3 linked regions of the Schizosaccharomyces pombe genome follow. Changing the gene in region 3 together with the main gene of any one other region gives a genetic interaction. Each region holds a gene or a part of one and is shown on either strand. Other genes may lie near its edges.

Region 1 (6,575 bases), on a different chromosome or scaffold from region 3:
GTCATCAAGTGTATTTTGCTTGCACTACAACATTTACGTTGCATTATAAAAAATTGGGAGAACCATAGTTACTCTTTCCTTTTTTCGCAAAAAAAGCAAATATGGTATGGTTTTTTTAGAGAATGCGTACGTTGACTTACTCACGTATTAGTTTGGCGGCAGCTTTTTCTCAAGCGACGATGATGGTTTCTCCATGATGTCTCAACTTCGGTCAGCTTTTCATAATAATGTAAATCAGCGATTTGATACTCGTTACCGCTGTTATCCTGTTGCCATGATTCCTGGTGAGGAACGGCCAAATGTCAATTATGGTGGGAAAGGTAAGGTTTGAAAATACTTTTAAGTTTTCACATTGTTGGAGATTTGATTTTATATACTCATGAAGTTCATGTGATTTTATCTTTGAGCGCTTGCTTGCGCATTTGCTTATGGTTAACATTCTCTGCTCAATATTTTTTATATTGTTATTGGGGATTATTAGTATTAACAACTACGTCTAGTAATATTACCACCTTCAGCTTTAGAAAAACTATGTACGTAATGCGAAGAGAATTTATTAAGCCTTTTAAATCTGTTAATTAACTATTAGCACGCCTGAATGTCAGTTATCCCATGCTTTTTGACTTTGAAAACGAAGCTGCAGAGAAAAAAACTCATGGGGGTGTGTTAGAATTTATTGCGGAAGAGGGACGTGTCTACCTGCCTTATTGGGTATGAAAAAATTTAAAGACTGTCAGAAATGTACTAACTAGGGCACAGATGATGACTACACTTAGCCTTGAGCCTGGAGATTTGGTTCGAGTTATAAATACTGATATAGCACAGGGCAGCTATGTCAAATTACAGCCTCAAAGCGTGAATTTTCTTGATATCACGGACCACAGAGCGGTATTGGAAAATGCGCTTAGGAATTTCAGTACGCTTACAAAATCTGATATATTTGAGATTTTGTATAACGACCAGGTATATCAAATAAAAGTTATAGATGTTCAACCTGATGACTCCCGCCATGTTGTCTCAGTGGTAGAAACCGATTTGGTAGTTGATTTTGATCCCCCCATCGGTTATGAAGAAAGTTTGCAAAAAAACAAGCAGCAAAATATTGCTGGCGTTCAAGGAACGATGGTTACCAAGATTGGTTACGATGAGCTGGTGAGGCAGGGCGATTCGAATTTGATGAAGGGAACAGGGACTAAACTAAATGGTAAAGAAGTTGCTGAAGTGCCTAAAATAAATTTGCTCGATGTTGAGAAACAAGAATGTCCTGCTCCGTTGATCCTACCATTGGGTACATACTTCTTTGGGTATCCTTATAAAGCACCCTCTATTGAAGAAGATTCTAAGAAAGACCCCAATTTATTTAAGTTTGAAGGTGCCGGTACATCTCTACGTGCCTCTCGCAAAACAAATGGAACAATGGGAAAAGGTTCCTCTGATGACCCAATCGATATTGATGCTTAATGTTAATCGTCTCAAGTTATTACTTGGTTGGATTTAGTTTATAACGATTTTAGTACCAGTCTTTTTACATTGAATGAATTAATTTATTATTTGTTTCAAAATATAATGTAATTAATTCTTACTTAGACTGCCTAGCTTTTTTTTACCAGTAGTATATTTCTTAATAAAACTTATTTTAATGCTAAAGAAATGAATGATTCGATAAAACGAATATTGACAATTGTAAGCCAAGTGCTTCCGATATCATAGAAAAAAGACAGGCATTGTGTTGAATAACTGTAATTTTAAGATAGCCTTAGGTATTACCGTAAGATGATGGACAAAGCACATCATTTGTTTCAACCTACCCTAAGTTTGAGTGACTGCTTTTTGGATGACTGTAGTTGTGTAACTGAACACACACAATTAACTTTCCAGCTTCCAAATGTCTGTTGCATCCAAGGTATGATTTAAACATTTTATCATTAAACGATTATTTTAAGGGTTAGGAAATGAACGAACTGGTAATTATTTGTAGCATGTTTTAGGGCTGTGTTTAAGGTTTCATTACTGCGACCCGAATGAAATACTTTATAGAAGTATAGCCTGTATAAAGACGCTCAAGTATTAAAAAATATAAATTCACATTTCGTTCATTATTCTTTAGAGTGTTAGCTCTGCAGACTCTGCTGATTTTTATTTTGTTTTCGCAAGTAGTAACCAAATTATAGAACCTCTTTGACCTCCTCGGAGAGGAGACTCCCGCAGCTACTACTACCGAGAAGAAAACCGCTGCTTCTCGTGACAAAAAGCGCTCCGACAGCCCTCCTGTCCCCCGCGAATTAGTCGCTCAAAGCACCACCTCTAGGAAGCGTGACCCTAACCAACCCACTCCTCGTGAGCGTACCGTTAATAAGAAGGCAGACCAACCTCGCAGACGCCGTCAAGCTCCTCAAGGAAACGAAGCCTTTGCTCGTGAAGGCAAAGAAGCTCGTGCTAACAACGCTGCCCATCCTGTGGATGCCACTGGCGCCCCCTCCAACCGCCGCAATGCTCGTGCTCGCCGTGGTCGTGAATTTGACCGCCATAGCCAAACTGGTAGAGTGTATGTGTTTTATTTTTCTACATGTGAATGCCAAATTATATAATTGCTAACCATTATTTTAGTGATACCAAGAAGGCTACTGAACGTGGCTGGGGTGATCTCGTAAACTCTGCTGCTAACCCTGATGTTGCAGAGAACGAAGGTAACACTCCCTCTGGAGCCCAAACTCCTGCTGCCGAGGAGGAAAATGTTAAGACTCTTGATGAATATCTGTCTGAACGCAAGTCCGCCGCAAAGCCTGTTGGTCGTACTGTTGAGAAACTTGAAAACGCTACTAAGGTCGAGAAGAGTGCCCCCGAAGAATTGTTTGCCTCTCTTAAGAAGAGCGCTTCTCAAAAGAAGTCTGCTGCCAAGGAAAGCAAGCCAAAGAAGGTTCTTCTTGATATCGAGCAAACTTTTACTGCTCGTCCTGCTCGCGGTGGCCGTCCTAACCGTGCTCCCCGTCGTGGTCCTTCAGAAACTGCCTCAAAAACCCAACAGGCACCTCCCACCCTTTCTGAGACTGACTTTCCCGCTCTTGCATAGATGAACTGGTGACTTGAGAGTAGCCTATTGATGTGGAGCGTTTGATTGGTCTTGGATGAAATTTCGTTGTCAAGCGTATGTGGAAAGGTGTGTGTTATCTTACAGATCCCTTTTTGTTTATTTTCCATTGAGCATCATTCGGGTTTCTAGGTTATTCAGTGATTCTTATCATTAAAGCGGTCTAAGGTGTATTCTGTGGTTGCATTCCCTTTTTTGATCCACATTTTGCGATGAATTGACTAAATATTTTTCAAAATGGTCGAATACTAGTGTGTAAAAAAAATTTCATTCTCGTATCTATTCACAACTAATATTAAGAAGATGCGCGTTTAAATCGTCTACCGACTGTTATCTTGATATAACGTATCTTATTTTTAATCTGTAAATATCAGCCTTAGTAATTGTGTACATAACAAAAGCATATTTCAGTGTACGGTAGGTCTGCCTGTGCAATTCACAAATACTCCATTTATTATTCCAATTGATTTTGTCATTTTCAAATGTCGTTTGCAGGGATATTGAAACGGACGTTGAATAAAGCCTTCTTAACCTTGTAAAATGACTATAGGAAAGTTATGAACGAGTTTGTGTATCGGTAACATAACAGGTAAATCACTCTTCATAATGCAAATTGCGGTTTACTTTTTATAGCATCATTTTTGATAGCTATTTAAAAAATTTGAAAGTTAATATAATTAATAAACTCGAGGATATGAGCAAACTGATAAAACGCGCTATATCGCGAATTCGCGCTTTAAAGGGCGTCGCGTCGCGTTGCGTTGGACACCGCTTATATACGTGCCACAAGTACGCAACAATCGACGAGTCGCAAAAAAACTGTCTCTGATTATTACTTTTCCTTCTGATTCTCTGCTACTAGGAATCTTTATATTGGTTTCCGTTTAGAAAAAATAACAAGATGGATAGGTCAATGGAACCATTGACCCCATCTCGTTTAAACACTTTGGGGGAAAGGCCAACAAACGAAGTGTATGAGTATGGAAAAGGAAAAAATGTGCAACATTTATTTCCTATAACACCGATGCAGAGACCATTAGGAAAAGAGAATGCGGCTCCAGGGACGATTTCACCGATTGCGGTTCGATCTCGAAATGTGCGTGCAGTAGAAATTGCAGATGAAAATGCATGTGAAGAGCCAGTCTTAAAAATAAAATCTGTTAGTAGTACGGAGAGTGAAGAGGAAAAAGAATCTTCTACTGAGATAGGAGAGAAACAGGAAAAAGAAACACATTTAGAACCCAAGACACCAGTACAAACCAATACCAACAATAATCACTTAGACGACATTCAGTGTTGTGCTAAAAACTTACGCTTACGTCTTGAATTGGCTATGTATAAAGTACAAGTTAATCAAACATTTTCCCCTCTGCAAGATCTTCCCATTGTCGCTAAAACGAAGCTTCACAATTGTCCAAACTCTGAACCTGTTACCTCCATATGGAACCAGAGATCGCTTTCTTCTGGAAAGCCTCCGTCCTTACATCTTTCAGGGAATCGCAGGCTTTCCATGGGATCTCCCACGAAGTCGATATATGATCAGAATGGTTTGACAACGCCAAGACCGATCGGTTCTGATGATCTAACACATATGTATGATCCTTATACCTCTCCTTTACGCACCCCTTCTCGTACGCTATCACGCTCCTCCTCTCATTATCTGTGGGTTCGTCATGGTAAATTGACACGTAGCGTATCTCTTTTACAACATAAAACGCCTAGACGCATTCGGCCAAAATCACTTTCTAAAAGCAATTCTACACCGTTAAAGCATTTAAGCGCTCAGAAACCAAATTCAAATTACTATACTGGCCCGCCTACTCCAGTATCCATATCCAACACTCCAGAAAACATTCATCCATCATCTTCCGAAGTAAGGCGTATTGCAAGTCACAGCAAGCAATTTTCAGACTATGGTTTAATTCGATGATCCTTCTTTTTACATTTTAAACCGAGTTATGGAATAATGTTATGAGATGATTTTTATAATACTTTAATTACTCTAGTTGTCGTTCATTTCCTTTCTGACAGATTTCTATATGTGAATTATTTTGAAATGCAAAAAATAACTTTTAATTCCTCGCAACACGTTCTTTTATTTCTTACTTGTTATGTAACAAGTCAGTCGTTAATAAAATTATTATCGCTGGTAAAGCCATCCTTCGTTTTATTTAATGCCTTAATTCATACGTACATCTTATATTGAGGTTTCTAGATTTCTTATATCCATTGAAATTCGTTCCCTCCGTTTGGGATCCAGTTTTTTAAGATATTACGAAGAATTTGCTTTTGCTGGCAACGTTTGATGTTGAGTTTCTTCCATTCATAATAGTTTTTTTCATTAGTCAACGATTGACTTAATTGATGCAGCAAATTCATCATACTCTTTCTACATATTAATGTTTGAGACTTTTCAACGTCTTTAGCTTTTGTTCCCGCTTTAATACCATTATGTATCACTTGAGTACACTGCATTTTATCACCGATCCATATCAAAACGTTTGTACTAGTTGCAGTTTTTTCTGCTTGGTTCAACGGCCGTGAATATAAAAAATTTTCATCCGTTTCCAGCACGGTAAAAGGATGAAAGTAATAAGGATTATCCTTTTCTCCAAATTCAGCAAGTGGTGCGCACCGACCAAAGGGTCCAAATGCTCTGTCAATTGCTGATTTAACTATCACTTTTTTATAAAGCACTACACATGATAAATAGATGGGCTCACAAATGAGGCTGGTCTGGGAATTCAAAATAGAAAGATATTGTTTTGCAGCTAATTTATCAGTACAGCTTTTGCTCCAGCTTACTGGGGCATCAGGTCTCCCCGGTTTAGTACGCACGATTCCAAGTAGTCCAAAATCCGCCCTCCCACGCATTAATTTCTCTGAATCAACTGTTAAGTTCCATGGTTTGTTGTTTTCCAAGCGGCTAGCTAGTAGCTCCATACTCGCATCTCCGCAAGGACATTCGGAAACGTACAGATGTATCAGAAGATTGCTGTTTAGAGTAAATTTACCATTATCAGCAACTTCAAGAAGCCACGTATCTTTCTTTGATTCTTTAATTAAAATACAATGTTCGAGAAGTAATCTTAATTCTTTTATTAGTAACGAATACTAACAAATATACAAATAATTGTATATATTACCTGTTAAAACATCTTAATGCCAGAATCTCAGCATGACAATCATGTAATACACTACCCAGTTGTTCATTCTTAATGATGCCAGCTGGCGTACTAAATTGACTTGTTAATGAAAAAAATCAATTGGTAGCATACCATTTTACACCTGTTCTTTAGATGTCAGTTTACCGATATTAATAAAAAAGACGTACGCTAGACAAACACAAATAAATTCGTTCTCCATCTTTTTCTGAATGACAACACCGGCTAAAGTAGTCCATTCACGCACCCCATTTGCTCTTATGATCGGTTTGCCATGACGGGCTAGTTCATCAAATTTGTTAAGGACTGCAAGAGCTATTAAA
Region 2 (9,357 bases), on a different chromosome or scaffold from region 3:
TGTTTCTTTATCTAAGCATATTGAACGTCCAGTAGAAGTTGTTGAAAGTCATTCTACGTACATTTTAAGTGCACAAGGACTTTATCTTACAGAACGCGTTTTAAGAAGTTATTTTAAACAACCTGATCTAATTATTACTTGGAAGGATAGTATGAGAGCTTACCTGACATTTTCTTCGCCGCAGGAAGCTCAAAAGGCTTACTTAGATTCACTTCGTTGGGGCAGTCAACTGAATGCTATCATTAAACCATTCTACGGTTCGCACGATGAGGTACTTCGTTTATGTAAAAGGAAAAGAATTATTCCACTACAAAATTTCTTGACTTCAGGTTAAACAGATAAATTAGAACACAGCTTAAACTTACCGGAAAAATTAATCGCAATCCAACAACTTTTCGGACAGCCGAGTGTTTTATAAAATTTCGTTTGGCTAAAAACCTAATTTTAATCTTTTATTAACCCAACTGGTTTAAAATTGCAACTGTTAGTTGGCTTAACAATCTCGATTGATTTGAATGGCACGGGCTATTTCTTCTATTGCCTTTGTATAAATATCACTTTACTATTTTTATACAAATGGAAAATTTTTATCTGTTCTGTTGGTTGCTCGCGTTTTTGAAAATGCTATCTATTCAGTGTGTTTTAAAAGAGCTGTCAAACAAACGAAATTTCGAATGATCTGTAAGATGCTTAGATGATTATATTCTTGATATTATTTATTCATGGCTATCTAATGAGAATAAATCCCTTGGTTACTACTTTGTTATTTATATGGAAGATTTGGCTGCTGGATATTACGTTAGATATAATATTCATGACTTAAAAAAATAAAAAATAAAAACAATAGCTACTTTGGGTTCGAATACGTAAACTTAAAAAGCTGATACAATCACTAGAAAATAATAACCATAATAAATGCTCTTCTGTAAAATTTTCCTTTTAAAAGAAAAAACTATAGATATCTTTCATGAAAATGCTTGCCTTTACTTTTCATTAGCCGAACCATCTGTTACATCTATTCAAACATGCCCTTTGTTTAACCCAATTAGTCTCCAGATGTTTTTTTTTTCTCTGTTTAAGTAAAGCACAACGTCTAGGAGAACTATTTAATTAATGAGGAACCCTTAGTAGAAACTCGTATCTTGGTGCTTCAGAGAAAGATTGAGTAATGCTTCAATGATACAATGAAATAATGAGTTTTTTTACTTTTTCAGCTCTTAAATTCATATACTTTTTAAACAGTTATGTGATAAATCATTATTGATCCAAGGAAACATTCAGTCCAAATTTGCTGTCCACATGCTAGCTTCGTTTGTGTATAGTATTTGAAATAATGGCATTTCTATGCATTGGACCGGTTTTACGCCTTGGCACTTCAGACTACAGCTATAGTTACTACCAGTACAATATACGGAATTGGGACCGTACCCACGAGGTTACCAATTCCCAGTTTGGTCGACATTCATTCCTATATTCGTTTTATGCTCGGATTATAAGGAATCGTCGGACATATGAAATTTTCATATATAAGCAGTTTGCCGAAAGGCCATAACCACATTTGTTGTAAACAAGCAGGTAGGTTTCTCAGCAGTCAGGCGGATTTGAAGAAATATTCAGAATCACTATGCTTGCCAAAGACTTCGTTTCCTATTAAGCCAAACGTTAAAGGAAATAATGAAAAGTATTTCAAATCCATCACATCAGACCTGTATGAATGGCAGAAGGAGAATTTGAATAAAGAAGATTCTTTCGTGCTATTAGATGGGCCTCCGTTTGCAAACGGTCGACTGCATATAGGTCATGCTCTAAATAAGATTTTGAAGGATATCATCAATCGTTGGCAATTGCTGAAAGGCCGTTCTGTGCATTATGTTCCTGGTTGGGATTGTCATGGTTTACCAATCGAGTCAAAAGCTATTAAAGCAAACGCCGAGCGTAAAAGTTCTCTTGAAATTCGAAAGATTGCTAAAGATTTCGCAAATTCGGCCGTTCAAGAACAACTCATGATGTTCCAACGTATGGCTGTAATGGGAGATTGGCCTTCTAGGTACATCACCATGAGTGACAAATTTGAAATAGCAGAGCTTAAGGTTTTCTTAAGTTTGTTACAAAAGGATCTTATATTTCGTCAAAATAAACCTGTTTATTGGAGCTCTTCAAGCAGGTCCGCTTTAGCTGAATCAGAAATAGAATATGATGATAATCACGTCAGCACGTCTATCTACTTTACGTTTCCGGTGAACAGTTTTTCTATCGATGGATGTGAATACAATAATGTAAAGGCATTAGTTTGGACAACAACTCCCTGGACCATTCCTTCAAACCTTGCATTATCTTACCACCCTGAAATCAACTATGGTCTATACCAGCACAATAATTCGATTTATTTAATGTCTGATAATTTAGTTCCAAACTTGGATTTTATGCAGGGAGCTAAGCGTCTTGCGAGTTGCCCTTCAGATATTATTTCATCATTTACATATGAGAACCCTCTATTACCGAAGCAAAGCTTTCCATTTTTACAATCTAACTACGTTACTAATGATATCGGTACTGGTATAGTACATGTCGCTCCTGGCCATGGAATGGAAGATTATCTTCTAGGACTGGAAAACAATTTGCGTCCTTTTTCACCACTCGATGATTATGGTCGATACACTAAAGAAGCTTTGGATGGAAGCCTTGAAGGATTGGAAGTTCTTGGTGATGGAGGAAAGAAAGTAATAAGTATTATGAAAAATCAAAATATGATTGTTAAGGTCTCTCCTTATAAGCACCGCTACCCTTACGATTGGCGAACACATAAGCCATTAATTTTACGGGCGACCCCTCAATGGTTTATATCATTGGAGAATGAAAGGAAAACTGCCATAAAAGCACTTGATAGTGTAAAAATGATTCCTCCAAATTCGCGCGCCAGACTTCTTGGTTTTTTGAATGGCCGTCCTGAATGGTGCATTTCTCGCCAACGGGCATGGGGTTTACCCATTCCTGTATTGTATGAGAAAGGAACTAAAATCCCCCTACTAACTGTGAAAAGTGTATCCTATATCATTGAGAAAATGGAAGTAGAGGGAGTTGATTCTTGGTTTAATGATACTGAAAACAATGGGCATGCTCAGTGGGTTCATCCGGATTACAGAAATAAGGAGTATATTCGTGGCACTGAAACACTTGATGTATGGTTTGATTCTGGGACTAGTTGGACTACAATAGCACCTCGTAAGAATAAACCGCTCATTGACCTTTGCTTGGAAGGAAGCGATCAACACAGGGGATGGTTTCAGTCACTTCTTCTCACATACACTGCCTACCAATCAAAACCAGAAGCACCGTTTTCTACTTTGTTTACGCACGGATTTATCTTTGATGAAAGAGGTCAGAAACAATCCAAGTCTTTGGGCAATGTAACCGACCCTGAAGATGTAATAAACGGAAAGCTTTTAAAAGGAAAAAAGCTTCCATATGGTGTTGATTTACTGAGACTTTGGGTTGCATCATGTGACAGTACGAATGATACTAACCTGGGACCGAACATTTTGACGCAAGTTGGTGAATCCTTAAAAAAGTGGAGATTAACATCCCGATTTTGTCTTGGGAACTTACATGACTGGAATACCTCGAGCTCAGTTGATGTTGGTGAATTACGTGGTATTGATAAGTTGGCTTTAGTCCAACTAGATAAATTTCAGACTGAAATTCGAGAACTTTATGAATCATATTCAATTAACAAAGTTGTTCATCATCTCAATTATTTTATGAACTCTTTCTTATCCTCTACATACTTTGACGCCGTAAAGGATCGTCTGTACGCTGATTTACCCAACAGTGTATCTAGGAGAAGTGTTCAAACTGTCCTTTATCATTCATTACTTACGCTCATTTGGGCCATTTCTCCCATTACTCCACTTTTGGCACAGGAGATTTGGCAAAGCTTACCCGATAGTTATTTGAATTCTTCTTACCAAACTCCTTTTCACGCTGGAGAAACACATCTTATAAGCAGCTTAAGGTCAAAAGTTGATTTACTTGATAGAAAATTTTTAATTAAGGAATACTTGGTTCTTCAACAACTTAAGTATAGTATTAATTTGTTGATTACCGCAGCTCGTGAAAATCTAACTATTAAAAACTCATTAGAAGCTTATGTCGTTATTAAGTCAAAATCTCAATCTTTATTGAGTTTTTTAAAAAATTACTCTTCCGACCTTCCTTTTCTGTTCAATACATCGAAGGTATTTATTAACGAAATTCCCGAAAATCTGAAATTAGCTTCCGTTACACAACCTGAAGTTCAGTTGGATTATGGGGTTGCAAATATCTCTTTATTTTTTTCAAATCAACAAAAATGTCTACGTTGCTGGATGCATACAGCTCATGAGGACGGATTATGTGACAGATGCGAATCTGTTTTGGCCCAACTGAAACGCTAAGAAAAAAGCTGAACGCTCTTTATTATGATAATTTTTGTACCATAGTCATTTATTTTTGTAATACTTAATTAAAATCAAGCGACAATTCATTTTTTGTATTATTTTATTTTACTGTAACATTAGTAAATAAGGAGACATAGTGAAGGCCATAAGTTTGGGTGGTTTTGGGGCTAACAGTTGACCTTCGCAAACTAGCAAAATGTCAAAACGCGGTGCTGATCATCAGTTAACTAAGGATCAAGATGATTCTGATGATGACCGTCATGGTCCAGTTGAAGTTCCTAAGGAGGCCTCCGCAGACGTGATGGCCACAAGAAAGTATGTAACGATGAAACATAGTTCTTCAATTTTTTAGGTACTAATGTATTAGAATTGCAAAGCCAAAATCTAGAAAAAGACCAACGAGCGGTGTTTCTTCTCCGGGAATTTTTGCAAATTTGGCAGCAAAACCGGTGTCTTTACCTGCATCGACTACGCAATTTACATTTGGAAAACCCGCGGTTACAGCTAATAATGATTCAGATATTCACTTGAAAAAACGCGGTCTTAATAAATCATTTATTGACGCTGTTATCAAAAGTGTTGACAATAATCCCTTTGGTAATTTGAGCCCTCTGTTTGATGAATACAGGCAGCATTTTTCAAGTATAGAAAAAAAGCCAGCAGAAGGTAATGCGTTTATAGTTAGTACTTCATTTCTTTCTAACGTTTTCTTAGAACAACCAACTTCAAATGCTGTTGTGTCTGAGGTAAATCCTCAGCAACAAAAAAGCCAAGATTCTTCTTCTTTTGTTACAGAAAAACCAGCTTCTTCAGAAAAAGAGGATAAGGAGAAGCCCCTTGTTCCCCCCGGTGCTCCTAGGTTCGGATTTTCTGCTCCAGCGCTTGGTAGCTCTTTCCAGTTTAATTCATCGGCTTTTACTCCTAAAGGGTCATTTGGTGAGAAGTCCGCAACAGAAGCGGAAGCGAAGGAGAAAGAAACATCTTCTAATCAAACTGCCACTGGTACTGCCGCTACCACAACCAACCAGTTTTCATTCAATACTGCCGCTAATCCTTTCGCTTTCGCTAAGAAGGAAAATGAGGAATCAAAACCATTAACTCCCGTGTTTTCTTTCTCAACGACTATGGCTTCTGCGGATGCTTCAAAAGAGACCAAACAAACCCATGAAACTAAAGATTCAAAGAGCGAAGAATCTAAACCCTCGAACAATGAAAAATCCGAGAACGCCGTTGAACCTGCCAAGGGAAATACTATGAGTTTTTCTTGGACTCCTGATAAGCCTATCAAATTTGACACACCTGAGAAAAAATTTACATTTACCAATCCATTATCGAGCAAAAAGTTACCGGCCTCTTCGGATGTGAAGCCTCCTAGCGCTGCGGCTGTCGGCTTTTCATTTGGAACTACTACTAATCCGTTCTCTTTTGCTGCTCCGAAATCTTCTTTTCCTACTTCTTCTACTCCAGCTTCTGTTGGCGCTGAAAAAAGTGAAGAAACTTCTAATGGAAACAAATCAGAGCAAGAAGAAAAGGAAAACGGAAATGATGAAACTCGATCGAATGATTCTCTAGTTTCTGGTAAAGGAAAAGGCGAAGAAAATGAAGACAGCGTATTTGAGACAAGGGCCAAGATATACCGTTTCGATGCTACTAGTAAATCTTATTCTGATATCGGGATTGGTCCATTAAAAATTAACGTAGATCGTGACACTGGCTCTGCTCGCATCCTTGCGCGTGTCGAGGGAAGTGGAAAACTTTTGTTAAACGTTCGTTTGTGCCAGGATTTTGAATACAGCCTGGCTGGTAAAAAGGACGTAAAAGTACCTGCTGCTTCTACTGATGGAAAATCAATTGAAATGTATTTGATTCGTGTGAAAGAGCCTAGTACTGCGGAAAAGTTATTAGCCGAATTGAATGAGAAAAAGGTCTCAAAGTCAGAGAACTAGAAAGCAGTGATTGATTCAGTCACTATTTATTCCTTTATTTTTGGTCTATTAAATGTACATAAATCTAATAAATTTTTCGGAAATATATTGTCAAGATTATCAATTTAATACTGTCATTCGATTTTCATTTGTGGATAGGGATATACACAATCAGTCTTTTACGAAATGTGCATACAAATATGAAATTCCCGGAAGCATACATGCTCTCCAAGTACATTGCCTTTATGGAATATTAAATTGGTTAAGCTAGTCATATCTTTTCTTTTTAAATTTACGCAGAACATCAAAGTTTTACGGAACTGATTTAATTATCCTAATTTTCATCTTATGAATGATTGATAAATTTTTGAGTGAATTTTAAAACTGTTGTATATCGCCAGTGATATATCTTGAATTGATTGATTCAATAATCGGTTTCGTTATTAAATTACTTTTGTCTATATATTGGTTCCGGATTTTCAAACACCTGCCTAGCTTTTAGAAGGGTCAAACCCCCTTATTGAATAAGTATCTTGGCGCGAACTTTTAATAAAATAAGCAAGTAAATGAGCCACTATCAATTTCGAATTGTTAGTTTTTTGAAAAAAGTAACTTCAACAAATACGTTTGTAGCGAATTTATCGCTTAAAGTTGATTTTTTTACTGTAATTGAATACTGTATTGGACCGGCTATAATTAACAGCTTAATTTTACAAGTTAAGAGTTATAATCGATAAGTATAAATCATTTTAGGGTATCAATTTTTGACCATTCTAACACCTAATTTTTTGCATGTTTATCATAGTAAATACCCTAAAACATCCAAGTAAAAGCATAAATAATGACTACCAAAACGAGCCCATAAATAAATTTTTTAAGAGAATGAAACAAATTGTTCTAACCGAGCTTAAAGTATGAAATATTGGCTTAGCAATAATTAGATTCATGACAATTCGGATACTGATGAACTTTAACTATGTTCAAAATTTTGGGATTCCTCATCCTCTTCATCTTCTGATATATCCTCTTCATCGACTGGGTAAGTGAGAATGGCGGCAATACCTGACAACAGATCCAGCTGCTTCCCTGACTCATGCAAACTACTGAAAATATAAACAGGACAGTTAATCTCCTTAACACCTTCTACTAATGAAACCCATTTTTTTCTAGTAGCAATGTCAGAACTCCTGAACAGAGAATCGCTAATCAGAAGTTCTCCGATCGCGCCAAGTTCAAAAGCCTTCAAAACATGATTTGGACCATACCATGCCTTTCTATCATCTTCATTCATGACATCGTAAAATTTATTCAGAACGCGAATTTCTTGTACGTATTTTGTGTCGGCTAGTTTTGATTCAACAGCAGGGTCCTTCAAAATTTCATTAAGGGAATGAATATGACCAGTGCTAGAATGAAGGATGACAAATTTATTCTTTGATTTAACAATTTGTTTCAAGTCTAACTTCACGGCCATGCTGAATATGTAGTCATACAAGCCTCGAGCCACAAATCCTGGTGAAGCAAGAATAACGACTTTCAATTTATCAAAATCAAATTCTGAGTTAATGGATTGAAAAACAGAGTCATAAAATTTATCAAGGCCCTAAAAAATTGATCAGTACGGACGAAAAATCAAAGTCTAAAAATTTACCTTTTGGTAAGCGCTGCTGTCCCCTCTCCGTTTCCTTGGAATCACTTGATCAATCCTTTGACGCAGGATGGTCATATAATCTGTAATGAGACAAATATTGGCAAGACCTGCAAGTCAGTAAACATGCACGAACTAATAAAGCGATGTAAGCCAAGAAATTTACCTTCATCTAAAACCACAGCACCTATTTCAGCATTTCTTGAAGGATTACAAGCAGCATCTACACGGTCCAATGCAAATGCATCCCATTCATTTTTATATAGAGTAAAATTGCGATGTAGTTCTAAGTCCAAGGTATGGTAGGATCCCATCTTAACTTCAGGATGGTATTCAGTTGTCCGTCCTTTGATGTGCAATTGAGCAGCCTTTGTATCAAAGTCCATATTCTCAACTAAAATACGTAGTTTCATCACAACTCTTGAACCTGACGTACTTCCTGTAGCGCCAACTTTCACTACACGACTAAACAACAGAAAAAACAGGTGTTATTATCGAACATTGAAGATACACTTTATTTCATACCGAACTGTAGAAGCCTTCAGCTGATCTCCAACTTGAAGAATATTATACAAATGCCTAAACTAAGTTAGTTTGTGCATTGATTGCAGATATACAGCAACCAGGCATACCACATATCTTCTGGCTCTTCAGGGCACATGGTTATCCATCCGGAGCCATTTTTTTCGATGTTTTTTTGAATCAACTTCATATTGAATGTGGTTGACGAAGAATTTAAGTGAACAGGAATTTTTTAGGCTATTTTGACTGACATAATATCTCGAAATTTTATTCTATATAATTATCCTTTTTATAGTAATAATTGTTCAAGTCATAAATATGAGTTCTTGACAAAAGTATTTTGCTAACGAGGTAGTGGTATTAATACTTATTGCCATAGATAGTCGTGTATATGAGCAAACTGTACAACAATTTGAGTTGGCCATATACAAATTCATATTCTTTCATTTACTAATAACCACCCAAACTAGTTAAAATGCCTTAAAATTTTTCTCTAAATGGGTTTGCTCGGCATTCCAAACTGATTAATACTTAAACTCCTGGAAAAGACCATAAAAGACTTTCTTCAATTAAAAAAAATTTTATTTAAAAAAATTTCTTCAATTTACGTTGAAAACTGTGATATACCAATGTTCACCATACACGAGGTATCATGGAAGGAATAGAATATCGTTATTAAACACATTTCATGGTATCGGAGTTGGGGCATATTTTTTTAAATTTGCTTCGTAAATTCATGTAAACAAACTTTGGAATCAAAATCCATTGTGCCAACGGCATTTCCAATTTATTTCTTCTAATATTTCTTGAACATTTACTTAGTCGG
Region 3 (10,917 bases):
TAGAACTCAACCATTACGGGTTTGACGAATATAGACGAGATTCGCAATTACTTGTCTGATGGATTACCAAGATGATGGGCTTGGTGAAATGATTGAGTTTTTGGAGGGTATGCATGAAGTTTAACTCAAATATCTCGTAAAATTGATTAACATGTTAAATAGACAAGTTATACTACACATCATTGTCGCAACCACCTAAAGCCGAGTTATATCCTCATATGCATTTTTTTACTATCGATGATGAATTGATCTACAACCCTTTTTATCATGACTTTGGTCCGCTGAACGTGAGTCATCTTATTAGATTTGCAGTGATAGTTCATGGTATCATGGGAAAACACAGACAAGCTAAGAAAAGCAAGGCTATAGTTTTATATTCTTCTACAGATACAAGGTTGCGTGCAAATGCCGCTTGTTTGTTAGCTTGCTACATGGTGTTAGTACAAAACTGGCCTCCACATCTCGCATTAGCCCCTTTAGCTCAGGCAGAACCTCCTTTTTTGGGGTTTAGAGATGCGGGATATGCTGTTTCAGATTACTATATCACGATTCAAGATTGTGTTTACGGACTGTGGAGAGCACGAGAGAGCAGCATACTAAATATACGTAATATCGATGTTCATGACTATGAAACTTATGAAAGAGTGGAGAATGGAGATTTTAATTGGATATCTCCTAAGTTTATAGCATTTGCAAGTCCTATTCAGGCTGGTTGGAATCATGCGAGCACACGTCCAAAGAAACTTCCTCAACCGTTTGCGATAGTTCTCGATTATTTCGTCGCTAATAAGGTCAAACTGATAGTTAGGCTTAATGGACCTCTTTACGATAAAAAGACTTTTGAAAATGTTGGAATTCGACATAAAGAGATGTATTTTGAGGATGGCACAGTTCCAGAGCTTTCTCTTGTCAAAGAGTTTATTGACCTTACCGAGGAAGTAGAAGAAGACGGTGTGATTGCTGTTCATTGCAAAGCAGGGCTCGGACGTACTGGATGCTTAATTGGCGCATATTTAATATACAAACATTGTTTTACTGCTAATGAAGTTATTGCTTACATGAGAATAATGCGTCCTGGAATGGTTGTAGGTCCACAACAGCATTGGTTACATATTAATCAAGTTCATTTCCGTGCATATTTTTACGAAAAGGCGATGGGAAGAGCAATCCAACAGGCCACCGCTGCGGAACCCTTAGCTACTCCTCCTCGCCATCCATTGAATGCTACGAATGGTACCTCTCAAAGCAATATCAGTACTCCTCTTCCAGAACCAACGCCTGGCCAACCGAGAAAAGTTTCTGGACATAATCCACCGTCGGCGAGACGTCTCCCTTCAGCGTCCTCTGTCAAATTTAATGAGAAACTTAAAAATGCTTCCAAGCAATCAATCCAAAATGAGAACAAAGCGTCATACAGTAGTTACGAAGATTCAGAAATACAAAATGATGATGAAACACGGACTGTTGGAACTCCAACTGAAACAATTTCAGTGGTTCGCTTGCGTCGCTCATCAAGTCAAAGCAATATCGAACCAAATGGAGTTCGTTCTCCGACATCCTCACCAACTGGTAGTCCAATTCGACGTACAAGTGGAAATAGGTGGTCTAGTGGGTCTAGTCATTCTAAAAAAAGTGCTCAGCGAAGTGTTAGCATGTCATCACTTAACAATACTTCTAATGGCCGTGTTGCTAAACCTAAGCCTTCTAAAAGCCGGCTAATTTCTTAATAAACCTGTAATTACTGGTTTAAATGGCAGTTTTTACATTCCTTTTTTTCATATAAACTAACTTTGAATTATACTGTGTCAACCCTGCATAATTTTTCATTAATTAACTTTACAAATATTCCCTGATTTAGCGCACCTTTGCGCGGTGGGGATCACCACCATTAATGTCTTAGCTATCCTTTTTGTTAACTAACATTCATATTTCTTTGGAAAAAACTTTGGCTTTTTGCAAGCCATGGTTAATGATTTTAATCGAGAAATTGTTTTGGTTATGATATAAAAAGTCTTTGTTTTTTATTACGAATTTCAAGATTTCGCCATTCTATTTTTGGCTGAAGAGGTTCTTTCGCGGGTGCATGGTATCTTTGTTCGTAGCGGTACATTTTATTATATTTTGCTTGAGAATTTTTATCTAAATTCCCAACGGAAATCTGCCTACTTGTTGTACCTAATTTGCTTCAATGTTTTCACCTTTGGGTCAGTTTAAGCACATAGTTTGTCCATTTCTACGAACTGGACGCAAATGTCAGTCTAGGAATTGTTTCTTTAGTCATGACTTTCAAAACTCAACAAAGATTTCACCACCTTATTCCGAAAATGTTGAAGGGTACCCAAAAGTTAAAATTGAAAAATCACTTCCTTACAAATACGATAATTGTAAACTGTCTATTTGTGTTCCAATAGTTACGACCTGTATCCCTTATCATTCGGTTGAAAATCTTAATTTCAACATTAGGCAAAATATATCCACCACTTTAAATTTGGAGAAGACAAATGATTCCATTAAAGAAACCAAGAATGAGAATTTTCGTATGGACGTACTAGAAACTTACAAATGCAAGCAGTTGAATCATCAAACGACGCATCTACCTACAAATACTGTATTAAAAAAGCGTTCTTTATTTAATGATGCCATTTCCATCGTTCCTAATAAGAAGAAGCAACTTGTATCAGCCATTAGTACTAATTCAGATTCTCAAGGAGCGTCTTCCAATATCATTCCTACTCCTAAATATGACTCCAACTCACCAGCTGGGCATGAACTGAGAAAACGAATGACACATTTGTTATATGAGTCTTACAAGGATTTAGGCTATTCCAATGCAGAAAGTAGTATGCTTGCTCTTCTCGATGAAAAAAATATTTGTGAAACTGCAAACAGTAAAATGATATACAGTTCCTCCTGCAAGTCTAAAATTTTATCTCTTAAGAAAGCTCCGAAGAAAAATGAAATACAAGGATCAACTCCTGATGAGAAACTTGAGTCACTTGTTCATTCGGAAGAAGAATTGATTCTATGGGGATATAATATTGGAGACGTTGCACCAGTAAACCCGCCAGATGAACTTCGTGAATGCGATCGATGTGGTACACGGTTTGCGGATCCTCGAGGACCATGTACATATCATTGGGGAAAACTGTTTCGTGAAAAGCAAGGGGGGGAGAAGATTCGTACATACACTTGCTGTGGTGTAAAAGAGGGCGATTCGTCTGGTTGTATTATAGAAGACAACCATGTGTTCAAATACCGACATCTTCCGTATCTTGCTAGCGTTCATCCATTTTCCTACTTACCAGACAGTACAAATAGCAAGCAATTAAGTCATTGCGCGTTAGATTGTGAACTATGCTACACTACGAACGGGATGGAATTGGCTCGTTTGACGGTGGTAGCAAAGGAAAGCATTATTATGGATGTGTTTATAAAGCCTAAAGGCAAAATTTTGAGTCTCAATACTCGATTTAGCGGGATACATGATGCCAAAGAATTAGAATCAGGAATTACCATGGATCAAATGTATATTAAAATAAAGGAACTTGGCATGAATAAAAATACAATTTTAATAGGACATGGTTTAGAAAACGATTTGAATGCGATGAGGCTTATTCACAAACGTGTCATAGATACTGCTCTTCTATTTACGCATGCCAGAGGCCCGCCGTTTAGATATTCCTTAAAATATTTGACTAAAAAATATCTGGGAACAACAATACAAACTTCTACACACGATAGCGAAGAAGACGCTGTTTCAGCATTACAACTTGTCTTTTATAAGACAAAATCAAATGAAAGTCAAAACTAAGAGTAATAATGTTTTCAAATTCAAGAGATAGATCATATCACAAAGTAATTTTGTTGGATATATAGATTTCTGATACTAAGCATAATGAGAGGAGAGAGATAGTAATTGTAAACCCAATAAGGAAAGGGTAGGGAAGAATTTTGTAAATCCTTCTACCAAAATGAATACTTCATTCTCATCATTATTCCTCCACCAACTAAACCACATATTAGTAAAATGACAATTATTGACACAATTTAGAAGTATAGAAAAATGCTGCAAACCATAGCTGCTTATCGATTCTTCAGTCATTAACTTACGTGTCTTCCATGTTTGGAATTGAGGAATTCATTACGCTCCTTCCCCCAACAGTAAATATAGTAAGCTATTCCAAACGGAATTGCTACGTATAGACCTTCAGTCATGACGCGACGAAACATATTTTGCGTAGAAGTTTTGAAGAAGCCGGCCATTGGTCTCTGTTGAAATGGGGAAAGGGAATATGTTATGATTCCTTTTTGTTTAGGTCCACCTCTTATTAAAGTAAGTAAAAATGTATCAAATTGTTATAGCACTTACAGATGGCCCCACCATCCTCTATTCATGTGTTAGTATAAATAAAAACGTTCAATGATATTCTCAGCAGCTATTTGAATGTATATAACTTCGCTGACGAAAATGGCTTTACGAAATAAACACCAATTGTGTCCACCGTCTCACGCTATAAGCGTCAAAGAAAAGTCATATAACCCATTATAAACAGAAACTGCTTTAAGTTGCACTTACAAATAAGTTTTTCCTCCAGCAGCACCACCCATTTTGTTAAAACAATAATATATTGATGATTGCCGTTACAAAGTCAGATGTTTGTTAAGGGTAAGTGTGCGGGTCTGCTAGACCAATAATAATTCAGACGTTTACAAATTCTTGGTTTTTTATTCAAGATTTTTATTTAGTTTTACTATTAAAATTCTAAATAATAAGATCATGTATTTATTAATCATGAATATAGATTTTCCTAGAGGTTGCAGTTAAGTCATACTTAGTCTTGCTCAAACGGACTTCCCTTTCAGTTTGGTCTTTTAGTCCAGCGCTCAACGTACTATTAAAGAGATGGCTGTAGTACTGGAGAGAGTTGCACGTTATGCAATACCAATAGGTATTGGATTTACTCTATTACAATCTTCGATTTACGATGTACCGGGGGGAAAAAGAGCAGTTTTGTTTGACCGTCTGTCGGGTGTGCAGAAACAGGTTGTTCAGGAGGGCACACACTTTTTGATTCCATGGTTACAAAAGGCAATTGTTTATGATGTACGCACACGTCCACGAAATATCGCAACTACTACGGGTAGTAAAGATTTACAGATGGTTTCTTTAACATTGCGTGTATTACACCGTCCCGAAGTTGGAATGCTTCCTCAAATTTACCAAAATTTAGGCTTAGATTATGATGAGCGTGTCTTACCTTCTATTGGAAACGAAATTTTAAAATCCGTAGTTGCTCAGTTTGATGCAGCAGAGCTCATTACTCAAAGAGAAGTAGTTTCTGCCAAAATTCGCCAAGAACTAGTTCAACGAGCTACCGAATTTGGAATTCGGTTGGAAGATGTATCCATTACTCATATGACTTTTGGAAAAGAATTTACGAAAGCCGTAGAGAGAAAACAAATTGCTCAACAAGAAGCCGAGCGTGCTAGATTTTTAGTAGAACAATCCGAACAAGAGCGACAAGCTAATGTTATTCGCGCTGAGGGTGAAGCAGAAGCGGCTGATATTGTTTCCAAAGCACTTGATAAAGCCGGTGGCGCTTTAATCCAAATTCGTCGTCTCGAGACAAGTAAAGAGGTGGCTACTGCACTTGCTAATAAAGGTGCACAGGTCACTTATCTTCCCTTTGGAGCTGGTTCTAATGCCCAAAGTTCCAGTGGTTCTGGGTTGCTTCTTAATGTAAATCCTTAATTCATTCCATGTATCTGCTTCTAGCAGCAAATTCATAAGGTTTATTCGAGCTCCCCTAAACATATCAGCTTTATCTTATTATCCCTTTAAAATTAAAGAGATGTTATATAAAAGTTGTACTTTTCCACGCATTATGATTTTGACAAATTTGGGTTCTTAACGAAAATAAATATTTCCAAATTTTTTTATTTCAGAACTCAAAATTATGATTTGTCACCTTATTTTTAAAACGACAATTATTTTGGGTTTTGTGCTGATGAAATGGCTATATTAATGCTGCTAAAATTAGGGTTGATTGTTTATGTAGAGTTTTTTTAGCATAATGAAATAAACAAATATGCTGTACTGTTGGTAATTTTATTGACTTTAGATATTACTTTTAAAGTAAACAGACAAATATGGGTATCGCATAAATTCGTGAAGATTCGTTAAAAACGCCTTTTTTCCCTCGAGAATTTTTAATCAAACGGAATCCTACTTCCATTATTTTTGGCAGCAGAGATCGCACTTGGTATCTTGATGCCACAACAGTCAGCATAATGAGAATGAACATGTGTCACCTCAGAATCATCACCGTCTTGGGGAGCAGGAGACATCCCAGGTGAAGCTGGGATTAAATGGCCAAAAAGATAGTGCTGCATTATAGGAAGTTTACCCAAAACTTCTGCTCTATACATTTTTATCATGCCTTCGTTGACTTTAGACCAAGTCTTTACGGCAGAAATATCGTCAATCATTGGAGAATGGAAACGTAGTGAAACAGAAGGCTTCAACTTATTTAAAAAGTAAACATAACCTAAGTACATATAATCAGCGCGACACATCTCCAAAATTTCTGGATCTCTAACATGTTTGGGACGCAAATATTTATGATTAACCAACTGAGCTGCACCAAACAAAAAAGGGAGGAAATGAAAATCATCTAATCCCCATACACCATGAGATCCTGCTGGTTCGAGAGTATAAAAAATTTGCAAAGACCTCATCAATTCAACATACTTAACAAAAACTCGAACGACCAATGCTGGATAATCATTTTTAGTAAAAATGCCTAGTTGCTTTAAAATTAGTAACCATGACATAAAGTAAAGTTCATGACCACTTCCATAATCTATTCGCTTTCTGTTTCCAAAGCTTTCATAAAAATATCGACCTGCCTCCATCGCCGCATTATGCTCAATTCCAAATACTTGGTGCAACTTTGGTGTTTCAATGTATACCTGATCGTAAAATGATTGAAATGCAGGATTGCCAAACCTCGACCCCATATTATCAATTGCAGGATTTTCCTGTTTAATTTCTCCAACTCGATCTAGTATATTTAATACATGCTCTATTGATGAGCTTTGCGGAATTGAAGCTGAAATAGGCTTGTCTTTCACAGCTTCGTCAAGATCACAAATAAACGAATCAATTAACTTATAAGCATCTCCTTCTTTAAATAATTTTAAGTCTTCATTGTCTAAAATTCGTCGGACAGGAACGAAACACCGGTTTTGCTCTTCTCTAGAAAGCATGTTGGCATAACTTGATCGGTTAAGACAAGATTAACAAAAGCCTTAAAAATTATACAGTTGGACGCTCTTCAATATTCCTTATGTTGTTATTTGTTATGTCAGTCGTCAGTACGTTACATTTCATTATTGTAATTAGCTATAATCAGTGAGAACATTTTTTAAAGAAAGAAATGTAGAAATTTTTTTTTTTTTTTTCAAAATTGTTTTAAGGAAATAATTTCGACTACTAAAGTTATTTTTCATACCAATGTGTTCTTTTATTCTATGTGTAAACAGATACAGTGTAATAAGCGTTTATTAATTGCTTGATATACAACAACATATTTATGATTCACATGAAGTGTACATGTCATTAATTCTAGCCATCGACAAATATTTAAAAATATAAAAAGGAAGGGCCAAAGATGGAGGTATTGTAATAGTACTAGACATGGGAAGCTAATTGATATGAAGGAGATAGCCGGCATAAACAAATAAGTGCTCCGCTTTTTGAAAATAGTTAAATAAACGCGGATTGTTTAATGATTTTATCGCAAGAAAAAAGCACCGACCTAATTGTCTCATACCGGAACATTAAAGGATAGAATATACATGAGAGAAAATGTATTCCTTGTTAAAAAAGCCTGAAGTAAACATTAAATGATTAAACGTTTCTTAAGAAAAGAGAGGTACTGATATCCAAGTTAAAAATAGAGACTCATAAATGCTTGCAGCCATTTTGAAAATGCTTGTTTACAGCTTAAACTCTCAATCCAACCAACCTAAAAATATAACCCGAGTAAAAATAAGTTCTAATAATCTCATTTTCCTAGACGTTTCCTAAGTGCTCGTTGTCGGCGTAAGCGCTTTTTGAACTTATGTTTATTCATTTTCAATTTTCTTTTTCGTTTGACACTGGTCAAATCTAAAGGTGTAATAGAAATCAGCTTATCACATATTTGTTCCCATACTTGAGTAGATATACGAGCGGGTTGAGTTTGAGTTACGGATCCAGATGCAGAGAATGATTGAGCATACAAATAGCCATCCTCTAAAGATAACACATATTCCTGGGGTTGATCTTCCTCATCCTGCGATTGCGAAACTTGTGTTTTGGACTCAACTTTAGGCACACATATTTGATTAGCTGACAAAGGTCGATATCCAGCAAAGAAATTTGCTTTTGCGATTTCTACGCAATGAAGTTAGAAATAGAAGTATTTAATTTACTTACGACGATATGAAACGTGTGAAGTTGTAGGAACCGTTGGTAGGTTATATTTCGACCCAACTTCGGGAGAAGCTGAAACATGCCAAATCGGTATGGGACTACGCAGTGAAAGGCCGTTTAAACCTTTTAATATTGTGGAAAGCGCACCTCTTCGTAACATGGGTGACCAAGGCGAAAAATGTGTTGTACTCTTTGCACTGCGGGAAGGTAAGAATTGGTATGCTTATGCTAAACACTTACAAAGAGGAAGGGTGGTGCACATTTGATATTAATTCAGAAGAATGTTGTATTTAAATATATATGTGATGTTAAATAAAATTAATGCTAAATGAAATACAAAATTGTCCTTATGTATATACAGATGTTAGGTACGTTTTCGCTTCGAGAGTGGGCTGTCAGAATGAAGTCCACCGAGACGATGCAAATTTTTTTGCAAGATTGGGTTTTTAGGATCATACCAAGCAGATCCTTCTTTTGTAGTATCTTCATTTGCCAAATGCGTCCAGCGTGTTTGGCCTGCCTTCGCAAAAAGATCTCCCCTAATTTGCATAGGTTTGGGTAATAAATCTTTATTAAGAACTTCCCCTTCTGTGGCTTCTGAATAATCTCTTTTACTCACAATATCTTCGTTTTGATAGAATGCACCCTTATGATAGTACTTTTGTAAGAACTGCATAGATGACTTTTTCTTTCCTCTCCGACTTGCTTCAGCGTCCTTCAAATCTTGGGCTTCGCGTTCCTCAGAATTCATTAATCTTCTTTCTTCAATTGCCATCTTTTCCCTTTCTAATTCCAGTGACTTTTCCTTGTCTCTCTTTTTCCTAAGCAAATGCCTTAATTTCCATAATTCATATTCACTTTGCGGATCAATTCCATCGGTATCATCGATATCATTTAATAATTCATTATTGTTTTTAGTTTCTTTCAATAGTAATTCCCGTTTTATAGTCTCTTCTAATATTTTTTGTGAAGTCACTTTTTTAAGCACCTCAGTATCTTCTTCATTGGCTTTTGCCCGATTTTTGATGACTTTACTAGTAAATTTTGGCGGAAGAAGAAGTGTCCGCCTTCTCAGCTCCATCTCATATTCCGAATCAGAAGAGTCTTCTTCTTCAGAACTAGATGCTGCAGAGTTAGATCCCCCTTCTGCCGATGATGCGTCAGTCTCATATTCTGAAGCAGAGTTATCAATTGTTTGGACTGGGTTAATGTTTTGGAAATTAGAAGACGTTTTGGTTTCAGATATTCCTTCTTTCTCGAATACTGGAGTAATAACATGTCTTGATGAAGAAATCGAGTTTTCTTGATCATGTGAATCGGAAACTTCTTCATAATCACTTTCAGAAGAAGACTCACTTTCCAGCCCTTCCAATCTACCAGAGCGATATCTTGAAATAGGTTTATGGGGTATCAACGGTGTATCTATTGGCATCTTGACAAACGCTTTTTATTAAATTGGTTGGCAAATTTCAATCAACCGGTAAAACAATATAAATATGAATTGGAAATTATATATCTATTATCTACCACCCAAGATAAAACTGTATATCTGATATAATAGATTGTATGTATGCAATTTGTGGTACGGTGCCACTTACAAAGAGGTTTCGGGGCACTTACCAATGCGAGAACAAATATCACAAGCACACATTCTAGTCAAATGAACGAGAATCCTGGCATAATTTATATTTAGCTGAAAGTTTGTAAAATTGAATTGCCTTTTGTAAAATACATCGTTTCAGTTTATGGTCAATGTAATGTATTTCCAAAAACAACCGTTGTCAACCCTTTGAGACCTTCATAAAAATTATTTAGATGCTACATACAATATATCCTTTGAAAATACCCTCCTATAATTAGTAAAAATGATGTACTTTTCAAGATCCTAAAATTCGTTGAAGTGGTTTTAAAAAATATAGAGTTCTTGACTTGAAATCTGTCAGCATCTCACTTTTTCATACCAAAATAACTTTGAAGAAATAAAACCAAACGTATACTTGTAATTTTGTTATATTGATTATATTTCTCAATTCAATTCACCTTCTAATTCTAAATACAGATAGCGAGCGCTGGCAACTAGCAACAATAGTGAAGTTAAGTTCAACTATCGTAATATAACCATTAATTGAGAGTACATACTTCCCAGAGCTTGATACTACCGTAAAATAGCAAAAATCAGGTGCATATAATTGGTGCGACGTTGAGAAAACAAAAGTACGAACGAAATATTCATCGAAACTCTCTACATTTTCTTTCCGAAAAAAACTTATTAGTTTTACATTCTCTTTCTAAACCACGGAGTACAGTCTCTAGAAGTTAATAGTTGCTCATTTGTCGTCTTCTGATTTCACGATGTTGTTCTCTTTTCGAGCGATAGTTCTTTTTTATTGTTGTATGCTAACATTTGCTGGCATTGGATTTTTATGGAATCCCAAGTT

The links.
Region 1: mutations in rex3 (region 3) and nrm1 together harm fitness less than expected from each alone (positive genetic interaction), as found in Schizosaccharomyces pombe (one large-scale study listed by BioGRID).
Region 2: mutations in rex3 (region 3) and nup61 together harm fitness more than expected from each alone (negative genetic interaction), as found in Schizosaccharomyces pombe (one large-scale study listed by BioGRID).

Annotation. Positions count from the first base shown.
Region 1 is NC_003423.3:4,282,053-4,288,627, forward strand, and holds nrm1 (protein nrm1), read left to right. Parts: upstream 1-3,891; 5' UTR 3,892-3,989; coding exon 3,990-5,018; 3' UTR 5,019-5,308; coding exon of another isoform or gene 5,309-6,176; 3' UTR 6,177-6,234; coding exon of another isoform or gene 6,235-6,324; 3' UTR 6,325-6,366; coding exon of another isoform or gene 6,367-6,381; 3' UTR 6,382-6,422; downstream 6,423-6,575. Other genes in the region: Hrd1 ubiquitin ligase complex subunit Ufd1, read left to right, coding at 102-104, 152-320, 501-533, 590-711, 760-1,461; oga1 (protein stm1), read left to right, coding at 1,886-1,903, 2,172-2,545, 2,608-3,070; tad1 (tRNA specific adenosine deaminase), read right to left, coding at 5,309-6,176, 6,235-6,324, 6,367-6,381, 6,423-6,575. UniProt on the Schizosaccharomyces pombe protein: Negative regulatory component of the MBF complex involved in cell-cycle-dependent transcription.
Region 2 is NC_003421.2:728,497-737,853, reverse strand, and holds nup61 (nucleoporin Nup61), read left to right. Parts: upstream 1-4,612; 5' UTR 4,613-4,632; coding exon 4,633-4,751; exon of another isoform or gene 4,752-4,803; coding exon 4,804-5,102; exon of another isoform or gene 5,103-5,150; coding exon 5,151-6,382; 3' UTR 6,383-6,983; downstream 6,984-9,357. Other genes in the region: protein Thc1, read left to right, coding at 1-334; ism1 (isoleucine--tRNA (Ile) ligase), read left to right, coding at 1,512-4,433; dom34 (translation release factor eRF1 family protein), read right to left, coding at 7,332-7,964, 8,013-8,119, 8,176-8,474, 8,535-8,588, 8,642-8,721. UniProt on the Schizosaccharomyces pombe protein: Functions as a component of the nuclear pore complex (NPC).
Region 3 is NC_003424.3:4,760,801-4,771,717, reverse strand, and holds rex3 (exonuclease Rex3), read left to right. Parts: upstream 1-1,918; 5' UTR 1,919-2,188; coding exon 2,189-3,811; downstream 3,812-10,917. Other genes in the region: Cdc14 family protein phosphatase Clp1, read left to right, coding at 59-107, 163-1,727; qcr8 (ubiquinol-cytochrome-c reductase complex subunit 7), read right to left, coding at 3,993-4,007, 4,111-4,324, 4,370-4,387, 4,577-4,608; prohibitin Phb1, read left to right, coding at 4,904-5,752; ypa2 (serine/threonine-protein phosphatase 2A activator 2), read right to left, coding at 6,211-7,269; cox24 (mitochondrial 37S ribosomal protein mS38 ), read right to left, coding at 8,070-8,440, 8,483-8,639; splicing-associated factor Saf3, read right to left, coding at 8,844-9,911; SPOM_SPAC1782.02C (uncharacterized protein), read left to right, coding at 10,832-10,917. UniProt on the Schizosaccharomyces pombe protein: 3' to 5' exoribonuclease required for proper 3' end maturation of MRP RNA and of the U5L snRNA.